Xenopus tropicalis: one gene and its partners. The protein of the gene in region 3 interacts with the protein of the main gene of each other region in a pairwise test. Links are inferred from orthologs where the notes say so. Each region holds a gene or a part of one and is shown on either strand. Other genes may lie near its edges.

Region 1 (4,032 bases), on a different chromosome or scaffold from region 3:
AGCAGAACATTCAGCTGACCAATACCATGATTATTTGCAGCTATGTTGATCTGGAAGTACCTGGGCCCACAGGAAGAATTATGACTGATGCCCCCAAAATCACCTGTGTTACCAGAGATCTGTGTCAGTAGCCACTAGCCAGCATGAGATTTAATTGTCCACAAAAGCTCCAGCCGCCTATAATGTTAGTTATCATTAACACATCATTATATTAAGGGCCATTGATCAACCAGACAAAGTACTGAATGCATTTTTCTTAACAAAGTATTACAGTGATGTACAATCATTTGATGAAATTTGGCCCTTTAAAAACTTTCTTAATAATACATATATATATATATATATATATATATATATATACTGTATATCTATACATACATACACACAGTATTTACCATGCTGTATTTTGTGTTCCAGAAGCTAACAATCTTAGGAAGCTTTGATTAGCACCTCAAAAAATTAGCTCTCAGTAGGTTTCCAGGCATTACAAACTGGTCACTAAATGGACAATGTTGTACCTGTGGCACTGTTAAAAACTCAAATATAACAAAAACAAACTACTTTGTTACCTGTTTACTGGTACATCTTTCTATTGGCTGCAGGAGAATTGCACTGTCAAAAAATATTCATACTACCACTAGTTTCTGAATCCGATATCCAGAAACTTGTTATCTAGAAAGCTCTGAATTAAGGTAAGGCCATCTCCCATAGACTCCATTTTATTCAAATAATTCAAATATTTCCTTTTCCTTTGTAATAATAAAACAGTACCTTGTACTTGATCCTAAGATATAACTAATCCTTATTGGTGGCAAAACAATCCTATTGGGTTTATTTAATGTTGAAATTATTTTTTAGTAGACTTAAAATATGGAGATCCAGATTAGGAAAACCCCAGGTCCCGAGCATTCTGGATAACAGGTCCAATACCTGTACATGTGGGGAAGATTTACTGAAATGGTAATATTTCTAATTTTTTTCATTTTAAAATTTGAATAAACTCGTTTCCATGAATTTCTTACATTCACTAAAAAGTCTGAACTGAAAAATTCTGTGCGGGAAAAGTTGCAGTAAAGTCTGAAAATTCAGATTTTTTTTACTTGTCCCAAGAAAACTGCAACTTTTTCTAATTGGCACCCAAAAAAACAATGTCAAAATTTCGGAAGCCAAAGAAGTATCCTCCAGGGAAGGGACATCTGCCAGTGACTTCTACACAATATTGGCAAGTTTTAGCTGGTGAATTGTCTTATTTGGATTTTCAGCCTTTTTATGCATAGAAAATCTCTGACTTTTTTCCCCTGAAAAAATTCGAATCAGAAAAAAAAAAAAAATCAGACAGTTAATAAATGGCCCCCTTAAAGTATGGTGATCCAAATTAGTGAAATTGTGGATAACAGAAAATGTCCCTCATTTATTCTTGGCATAGCAGACACACTAGTGGGGGTCATTTATAAATACTGGGCAAATTTGCATCTGGGCAGTAACCTATTGCAACCAATCAGTGATTAGCCTTTTTCATACAGCTGCAGATTAAGCAGTGAAAGCAAATACCTGATTGGTTGCCATGGGTTACTGTCCAGGTGCAAATTTCCTCAGTCGGTTTAAATGACCCCCAGTTCTGGACTACATCTAGAACCATGACGCTTACAATGACTTCTGACCAGAGATGTCACATCATTTCTTTTCTGTGTTTTTTCACAAATGATTTTATCTTTTTGGCACAAAAATCTATATGAAATGGCTAGGCTAGAGATTTCCCCAGTCTGTCGTAAGAACGCAAGCATGCAAACTTGTTTGTGATTTAAATTGGAAGTGATTCTGTTACTGATACTACTTTTGAGAAAAGAACATCTAATCAGCCAAAGCAGCACAAACTTTACCCAAGCCAATATGTACAGTTTCATTTAGGAGACAAATGGTAGGTTTTTACAACTCAGTGTATATTCCCCAGACACAAGAAAGATTTGCAAAGATTCTTGCTGCTTTCCCAACGGCTGAAACGTATCCTCCACTGAAACATCAGTTGTTAAATACTTAATGAAGCAGCTTTAAAGTCTCACATTGAGGCATCAGAGCTTCTGCTCTATGAGAAGAACTATTAACCCTTTGTTTGCAAGAAACAGCATGGGATAAAGAGTACAGGAGGTTTCTTCTGGAGGTAATTAAACTCCCAATTAAAGAACCCTACCTGATTTATTTGAAAAAAAAAAAATACCACCATGTACACCATACACACGACAAAGGTATACAAGGATTAGTGTAATCAATGCATGATTCTATAATTACTAAAATAATAACTGCTGCGTTCCTATTTTGAACAAAGTGAATATTCTGTTTTCATAACTTGATGTTTCATCATTCTCTAATACAAATATAAGATTCATGGAACTATAGGATACATGGAAATGTTTATACCTAGAAAGTAATTATGAAGATGAAAGACTAAAAAGTTTTAGGTCAAGGCCTGGAATGCGCCCGCTGCTGCCAAGTAAAGGGTTAATAACAGCACAGACATGCTAGGGTGGGAACGGATTACAGGTGTGGGAAAGGCGACGAGTGACTGGACTTACCAAGGCTTTACCTGAACTTAGTCCTGTGGTATTTAGCCCAACCAGGGAAGGGAGAGTCTGGGACATCCAGTTAGAGATCATTGCCATGGTGCAGAGCACAGCACCAAGTGTGAGGAACGGAGAGCCCATAGTAGGAAAGCTACTGAGTTTTCATAGTAACTGAATCAGCACCAGAGATGGAGAGAGGGAGGAGTAACGGCTGAAAGCAGCAAACGGCTTCCAACAGGAGGATGTGCCTAAAAGGCTACACACTCAGTGCACGCTGACACATTCATCTCATTAATCTCACATGAATATACAGGACTTCCCATTTCCCATTAAAAGCTCATATTCTGGTGTTTCCCTGAAATACAAATGCCTATAGAGCAAGGGGCAAAATGAAACTAAAAAAGTAGGCTTTCTAACTTTACTCAGCTGCTCACTGGATAAACACGGGGCTGATTATATCAGCAGAACAATATGCTGACCCAGTTTCCTTTTCTGAAGCAATCCAGTAACCCATTTCATTCTTTTCATAGGGCAGCTGAATGTATGGTAAATGAACATTGGTACCTTCTATGTTAGAATAGCAGCCCTGGATAAACAGAAACCCCTGGCTATGAAACATATTGGATGGAATTAATGATGGCACAGCTGATAAAATGAAATCTAAGCCTAGTGGCTGGCTAATTACTTCTCATTTAAGCTCAACACATAAATTAGAAAATACAAGGCCAGTTTTAGGATAGGGCATAAATTACATTTGCTTTTGGCTCCCACCATCAAAGAGGATTTTTGGAAGAAATAGATAAAAGGACTAAAGACAACTAATATGGTGTAATAATTGCTGAATAATGTAGTACACAGGGATGTCCAACCTGCTGCTCATTAGCTGTTGCTGAACTGCAGCTTCTGAGCCTCATTGATTGCCAAAGGTGTAAGAGTAGTTGCATGTGTAGCACAACATGGTATAGGAACTCTGGCTTCCCATATTCTCAATACACTTGCTTCTAACCTTTCATCTAATTATAATTTGGTACCGTGTCTAAGTTGTAAAGATTTTGCACTATACACACTGCATTTGCCTTTGTAAATGAGCCCTGAATAAATTAAAAGTAAAAGTAGAAATGGAGGGGGACAACCAAATCATAGAGGATTGCCAGTTAGATAAACATAACAACTATTGGGAAATGACTGCTTTTGAGACTATATACAATAATCATTAAAATGCTGAATAAAAATACAATTCTTTTTAGAGAAAGCATGCACTGCTGAAAGTGTAAGAGCTTTATTCTCTTTGTTCAAACTACTGTTCAAACATCTGCCAGTCATTGAATATTTCATGGAGGCTGGCTGGCAAAGAAATTAGTGATTAGGGTGGGGGCCCCTGAGGTTGCAGCACCAGTGGGCCCTGGACACCCCAGTCTAACATTGAGGCCTAGTGACCCATAAAAACATATTAGCAGGTAGAATGTAATGGTCA
Region 2 (3,989 bases), on a different chromosome or scaffold from region 3:
TTTGTGGGTATATCTTAGTGACACATTTTTAATGAACACTGGAATTTTATTACAGCTTTCTCATTCTTTCTCAAAATAGTGTAAAAAATTCCTCTGTAGTTTTGCAAGGGCTATTGTAGATTGTTATATTCTGAGTCAAGAGATCTTATAAGGATGGCTCGCTTAAAGGCTAAGGAAAGTCATTTTGGCAATTTACTGCCAATAGATTCTCCACTTTAGTGCCACCTAGAACGCTATATTTATTCTGCAGAAAGCATTACCATACCTGAGTAAAGATTCCTAGAAGCTTTCTCTGTTTTCTGTGCAGCTGCCATTTTAGCTTGGGTTCATAGCTTCCTGCAGTAGATCTAGAGGCTGATAGCCCATATTACACATTCCTAAGGATGGGGGGAATAAGTTTTATGTATTCTTATGGGAAGGGGGAGCAGAAGGGAGAGAGAGAACTAAGCCAACTCAGGGCCCAGGAATGAAGGATTTTTTGAGAGAGGAAGTCAGATACCCTAAGAACATGTTTACAAAAAAGGAGACAAGAAATCCTGTGTTTCTTTTGATAGAGGACTCTGTGAGTCCTTATGGCTGTATTTACATAGACCTTTTTGATAAAGCTTACTTAGTTTTTACCTTTTCTTCTCCTTTAAGTATTTGTATATGGTGTATGCTGGTGCTTTATAACAATGTTGAAAAAAATACAATGTTAATATATTCTTCTCTTCATGTAACAATTCATTTCTTTTATGGTTAAAAATAAAACTAGGAATAATCTTTTTACCTCTTTACAGTAGGCAACTTTGGACCTGGTCAGTAACCCATAGCAGCAAGTCAATGATTAGCTTATTTAAACAAGGAGTAGGTAGAACAATGAAAGCAAACATCTAATTTGTTGCCATGAGGTTCTCTACATTCTACCCTAATTTGCTTTCCTAAAATGTATTCTGCAAAGTCATCAATAGAGAAAGCATCAGTTTATAGACCCTTTACCCCCTTGGGAACTTGAGAAGGCTACAAGTTAAGTTTACCCAGTTTATGAGAGAGTGCCCTGTCATTGTATTGTCATGCAGAGATGCCAGACATTTCCATCACAACTACATGTGTAATTTCCATTAATAGAATGCTCATTCCATCAGCTAAAAATAACCAGCTAGCTCTTCATAAAGCCGCTGCACCTTCCAGACCCTCAGAGCAACCACAGGCCGAACAGAGTAAAGAGCACTTACTAGCTGGCACAGGTCTAGAGAAAATGTCAGAACGCAGAATACCATTCTCCTTCCTCCGCACTCCAAGCTGGGACCCATTTCGGGACTGGTACCAAGGCACCAGTCGCCTTTTCGATCAGTCATTCGGTATGCCACGTATTCCCGAGGACTGGTACCAATGGCCCAGCACCAGCTGGCCAGGCTATGTTCGCATGCTTCCAAGCCAGTCCATGGAAGTTGTCCCCCCCACCACACCTGCTGGTGCAACTGCTCCTGACTTTAATCGTGCCCTCAGCCGCCAGCTTAGCAGTGGAATCTCAGAGATCCGTCAGACTTCAGACCAATGGAAAATCAGCTTAGATGTCAACCATTTTGCCCCAGAGGAGCTGGTCATAAAAACTAAAGATGGCATCGTGGAAATTACAGGTATGGCATGGCTAACCTCATATACTAGCAATAATAGTATAACATTCTACATTGATTATTTTAAAAAATGCCTTTCACATACTGTTTTGCTGTATAATTCCAACACACTGCATTACCACTTCTAATAAATGCACTTAGCAGGGCTGCACTGGTTGCAAAGTAATTACATTTCCCTGAACTTTCAAGCAATTTTGTAATCGATTTTCAAGCTCATAGGACAAAGGACACCTAGTTCCTTACCATAGCCTGGATACAACATGATAGAAAAGTTAAACAAAAGCCATACTGAGACCATCTCCAAGAGGTGACTTCCTTACCTATGCAGCTCTGTCATGCCTAGAATGAAAAGGCACACTCTGTTTTCTGGTACAAAATCACATGTGACGGTTGTCTCCTTCATTGGGCACAGCTACCCCTGCTAGCTAACGTACCTGCCTCTCACCTCGGAGGAATAACCCATACCTAGCTAGCCTAACCAAGGACATCCAGCTCCACCTAGGACTGGGCTCTTAAATGTCCACCTTGAAGTTTCTAAGGCCAATGCGGCACTTCCTTTATCTCTACCCTGTAATACAGTTTATTGGGTCCAAGACCTACCCCTACTTAAAACTTCCCAAATCAATTCCTAACTATGGCCAACCTACTCTACTGCCAGCAGAATCATCTGCCATATATACTGGAGGTAATTTATATAGAATTTATGTAGACCTAGAGCAGAAGAGCAAGTGCACTTAGGGGCACAACAGCATGTCCCTTCTCCATTTTTGCCTTAAAATGCAGCTTCATAAGCCAGTCCTATCATCACAGCCTGGACAGGTTGTAAGGAGCACCATTGCAGTTAGCATCTGCCTTCACTCCCTAACTTGTGTGCTTGAATGATAAACAAGTTAGGGGGCAGTGGGAGTAAAACATTACCGGTGCTGCTGTTCATAGCAGCCAACCAGATGTTTGCTTTGGTTTAAAATCTAATTGCTGATTGGTGCCCTAGGCAATGTCACAGTTAGTGTTTCAGTCCACTTTTTACACATGATAAATATTTCCCCTAGTTTGTTACCCATTAAAATTATTATGCAGTACTGTAAGGGCCGGATTTATAGATTTTGCACGCCTAGCCCTGCTCACCACTTGCTTCCCCTTCTCCACGCCACTGCTGTCTATATATATATATATATATATATAATATATATATATATATATATATAAGTCACTCTGCAGCATTGCAGCTACAAATAGCTAGGACTGAAGTATTAAAGGACAGTATTAAAGAGGAATCTCATGAAACATTTTTTTTGTAAAGTAATTAAGCTTACAGTTAGTTATTTTATATAATGACATTATTTTGCCTCTCTATCATGTCCTTCTCCTTCAAGTTTTGGTTAGTCACACACTCACAGAAAAAAGGCAATATTGTTGTGCACAAATCATAATAATCATACGATACTTCTGCAAATAGAAAACTTGATCATCTCTATTTCTGCCTCAGCTCATTTTTCCAACTCATTTTTAAAACATATCCTATGGTCTATTTAACACACAGTAAACTGTAGAAATGTAATGGGGGTGGGGGAGACCACACTGAAACTGTGGTATGGGTGCTGACAAATTTCACATAGAGCAGCAGGTGGCAGCGATTACAATAGTTATATATAACTAGGGGAAGTAGAGGAATCATATTGTTAGATAATAGGTTTAATTTATGAATGCTCGGGGCAAAAAGGGTCACAGAAGTTCTCATAAAAATGGCATAACCAATGTTCTTGCACCTACTTGCATTCATCTCAATTTGCCTTCCATCTGGCAATAATGCAAATTGCTAGTGGGAAAACATATGCATCACTTTAGGTTTATGAAGTTGTTAAAGTTGCCTTGCAAGTAAACTATAGGCATTGAGGCATTTGGAGGAGATTAAAGGTCCACAATAACGATTTGTTGCAGGCGACTAATCTCCTCTTGTGCCATTGAGATTGGTCACTCGTGGTTAAATCTTGGCTACTGTGGGTGACTAATCTCTTTGAAATGCCTTCCCACAGGAAATAAAGTGAATAGCAGATGGAAAACAAAATGCTGCATATTTTTTCCCACAGGTTATTCATTATATTGCAAGTGGAAAGGCATTTTGGGGAGATTAGTTCCCTGCGAATAATATCCCTGTGGGCCATGGCCCTTAAGCAAGTCGGCTTGCTCAATAATCTTGAAATGGTTTCAACACAGTCCAGGCAGCCCTGTGCTGTAGACTTATCATTGATAAGCCTTAGAACACAAAGCTGGCATCAGATGCATTTATCAGTCGTGTTTAAGAGTAGAAAGAGACAAGGTTTATTAGATATGCCATTAGCAGCGCAAGTCTTTTGAGGGTAACTGGGGTATTGT
Region 3 (2,977 bases):
CTATGTAAACAGTGTAATTTAGGAATATAAAATATACCATAAAAATCATGACAGTATCCCTTTGAAACAGACTCGGCAGTTTATCTGCCCATGTACGGGGCCCTCCAACAAGCCTCCACAACCACTATCTGGCCAAATATTGGCCAGATGATGTTCGGACAGGCTTTGTCATCGGGTCGGGGACAACATAGGCTCATTAACACACTACGATTTTTCCTTTCCCCTTTATTGCAATGTGAATCGTTTGGCCCTAGGGGAAATATTTGCTCATTTGCCGTCCTTCCCAAAGGAGTAAATTGGTGTATTACAGCCACAAGAATGATTGGCTGGTTTCCTCCCACATTCCAGGAACACACAGGCAGGTGGTTCCTGAGAAAATTCCCAGTGTGTGAGATAGGGACGTTAGATTGTAAACTCCACTGGGATGTGAGTGACATTTAATCTCTGTACAGAGTTATAGGAATAAATGGTAAGGGTGTGAATTGAGCCAGGCACAGCAGTACAGCGTAACTCCTTTAATGTATGCATCTGTACTGACGGAAGGGCTGCCACACTCCTCAATGGCCACATACATATCAGAGACACTAGAACATATTTACATGGACTATGTACAAAGTAAAGCCAAGGAGTTCAAATCCCGGGGTGGATACATTCATTGCTGCAGATGTGCATTTGGTGTAGTTAGGGCTGAGTCAATACAAATCCTTCCATCTGCAGCTTCGGGAACCACAATCTAAAGGTTTTTATGCGTTTCATGCATTGCACTGCCTGCAGCAGTTAGTCGCCATACCGGACAAAGGGCACCGTTTAGCCCGGACTCTTAGTTCACAGCCATTGTATATAATTTGCCATACTAAGCCAACATCCTGCAAAGCCCACACTGAAGGTTCTGCTGTGCTGCTTTTAGTGTCTTGCCAGCAGAGGGTGCTGTTCCACGAATCACAGCTGCTGCAACGCAGCGCAAATGAACCAATGCAGGGCGGGTTGAGGACTTCACAAAAAAGAAAAATTCAACGTTGAACTCCACAGTCAAGCAGCTAAATAAGAACACGCTATATTCGGCTGGCAAAATATTGGCATACAGAAGACATCACGGGCTTGTTCATATACCACTGTAGCCCAGTCTGAGAGTTGTACTAAATACTTCTAGGTGTGAGATGATGGCTGGCAGAGTGCATGCTGTGTCGGCAAACAAGTCATCACCAGAACATAGTTCTTCAGCCCTTAAACCACACAGCTATAAAATACTCTACTGGAAGTGGAAAGGAAATGAACCAGGAAGCCGAAGCAGGCAAGCGTTCCACTCGCTAGAAGGTTACCGCAGTAGTGAATCTGGGAAAAGCACACAAACAAGAGACTGGGAATCCAGGGAGGTCCGGAAGAGTAAGGACCAAAGCAGCAGACTTGGGTTGCTGGACCTAGAAGAGACTACTGGCAGAGGGCTCAGAGACACAGGGGAGGAGAGTAAGGCTTAAGGCTGGACAGGCACAGTCTGTGACACAAGAGGAGTAGGACTCTAATGGCAATGCCAGGCTTCTGCAGTCTTCCCCATGATCAATAGTCCTCCACCCAGCCATTCTCTGATATGAACGCATCAATGACCTCCTTCATGGCCAGGTTGGGGATGAGCTGGTCTTGAGTCAAAGGGCTTCGAGTCACTGGATCAAAGTGGCCGACTCTCTGGTTAAAGAATAAACAAGTGAGACTGGGGCTGGCACACATACATGTCCTGAAAGCTTTGCAAGTGCCTGTATCACTGTGCTGGCAGTTACAGCAGAATGAAACCCCCCCAGTGTATATATGAGCAGCTGATGCTCACTTCCAATAGCTGCACATCTGCCAATTTCAGCTCTTACATGTGCACATAAATATAATTCATCACTATACCATGTTCTGAGATGTCAAATTGTAATATACTGGTCTGGAATTATCTGCCCCACACCCACTGCTAACCCACCCCCATTACCTGCCTCCTCGGAGACACACAGAGACACAACTTGCAGGGCTGGAGTAATCTGTTGGCCCCAACCCATAGGCAGGCCCATGCAATATAAATATCCTTTAATTATTCTATTCTGAATGGACTTTTCCAAGATCTGTCTTAGTGAGATTATTATGAATCCTGAAACAGGGGAGTCACTGTCCCTTCAGAGTTTATCACAATTGGGTTGGGGCCCACGAGGGCCAGGGCCTGCTGGGTTTTTACCCGGTATCCCCACAGAACAATCTGGCCCTGTCCATCTACACCTACATCGTTCCTTCATTCCAACATTTCCCAGCCCTCCCTCCCATACCGCTCCCCATATTACATTACCTGAAGATGCTCCTCGATGTCTTTCCTATCGTACGTGATGCCGCTGGGTGTTATGCAGGGTTCTCTCATAAGCTCAAAGCTGATCTTGCCGCACAGGTAATCTGGGATATCTCTCTTCTGTTAAGAGAAGGACCGGGAGAGCTTAGAATAAAGACAACATCATGGCAGCTCTACACACGGCTTTTCTCATTTCTTATAGCTGCCAAACCCAAGCTGGAAACACGGATATAACGGAATACCGGTAACTCTAGGAGGCTGAAAAGGAAAGCTCTGGGCCCTGTATGAGCTATGACTGCTGTCGAGTATTAAACACTCACCTTTCTCTTTTCATCCACTTGAGAGAAAAGCTCCTCCATCTCAGCAAGATGCTTGTCCTAGAGAGCAACAAAAAAAAAAAACAGTGTTGGCGACTGCAGCTGTACAGTGATAAAGATGTTCCCTTTATCCATAAAGATGTCTTTCCTCACCAGGACCCCTCTCTGTGCAGAGTGTGATTTCTGCTCTGTAGTGTTCCAGGGAGCGGGACTTCAGCTGCTACAGGGGCACTGGCTGATAGGGTAACTCACCTGCCACTCAGAGCACAGATCACAGCTGTACAACATGACAAGGCCTCAGCTGATACAACCAATAAACCAGCATCCCTTATATATATTAAGCGGGGTG

What was found. The genes of interacting proteins can lie anywhere in the genome.
Region 1: the proteins of stub1 (region 3) and olfm3 interact in binary tests that used the Homo sapiens proteins (3 or more experiments, as listed by UniProt). The two-hybrid records come from large-scale screens. The link is inferred for Xenopus tropicalis from reciprocal best matches to the Homo sapiens genes STUB1 and OLFM3.
Region 2: the proteins of stub1 (region 3) and hspb1 interact in binary tests that used the Homo sapiens proteins (3 or more experiments, as listed by UniProt). The link is inferred for Xenopus tropicalis from reciprocal best matches to the Homo sapiens genes STUB1 and HSPB1.

Annotation. Positions count from the first base shown.
Region 1 is NC_030680.2:109,189,359-109,193,390, forward strand, and holds the start of olfm3 (noelin-3), read right to left. Parts: upstream 2,801-4,032; 5' UTR 2,700-2,800; coding exon 2,571-2,699; intron 1-2,570.
Region 2 is NC_030678.2:94,196,768-94,200,756, forward strand, and holds the start of hspb1 (heat shock protein beta-1), read left to right. Parts: upstream 1-1,189; 5' UTR 1,190-1,237; coding exon 1,238-1,619; intron 1,620-3,989. UniProt on the Homo sapiens protein: Small heat shock protein which functions as a molecular chaperone probably maintaining denatured proteins in a folding-competent state. Plays a role in stress resistance and actin organization.
Region 3 is NC_030685.2:14,826,212-14,829,188, reverse strand, and holds the end of stub1 (E3 ubiquitin-protein ligase CHIP), read right to left. Parts: intron 2,689-2,977; coding exon 2,632-2,688; intron 2,432-2,631; coding exon 2,315-2,431; intron 1,681-2,314; coding exon 1,555-1,680; 3' UTR 501-1,554; downstream 1-500. UniProt on the Homo sapiens protein: E3 ubiquitin-protein ligase which targets misfolded chaperone substrates towards proteasomal degradation.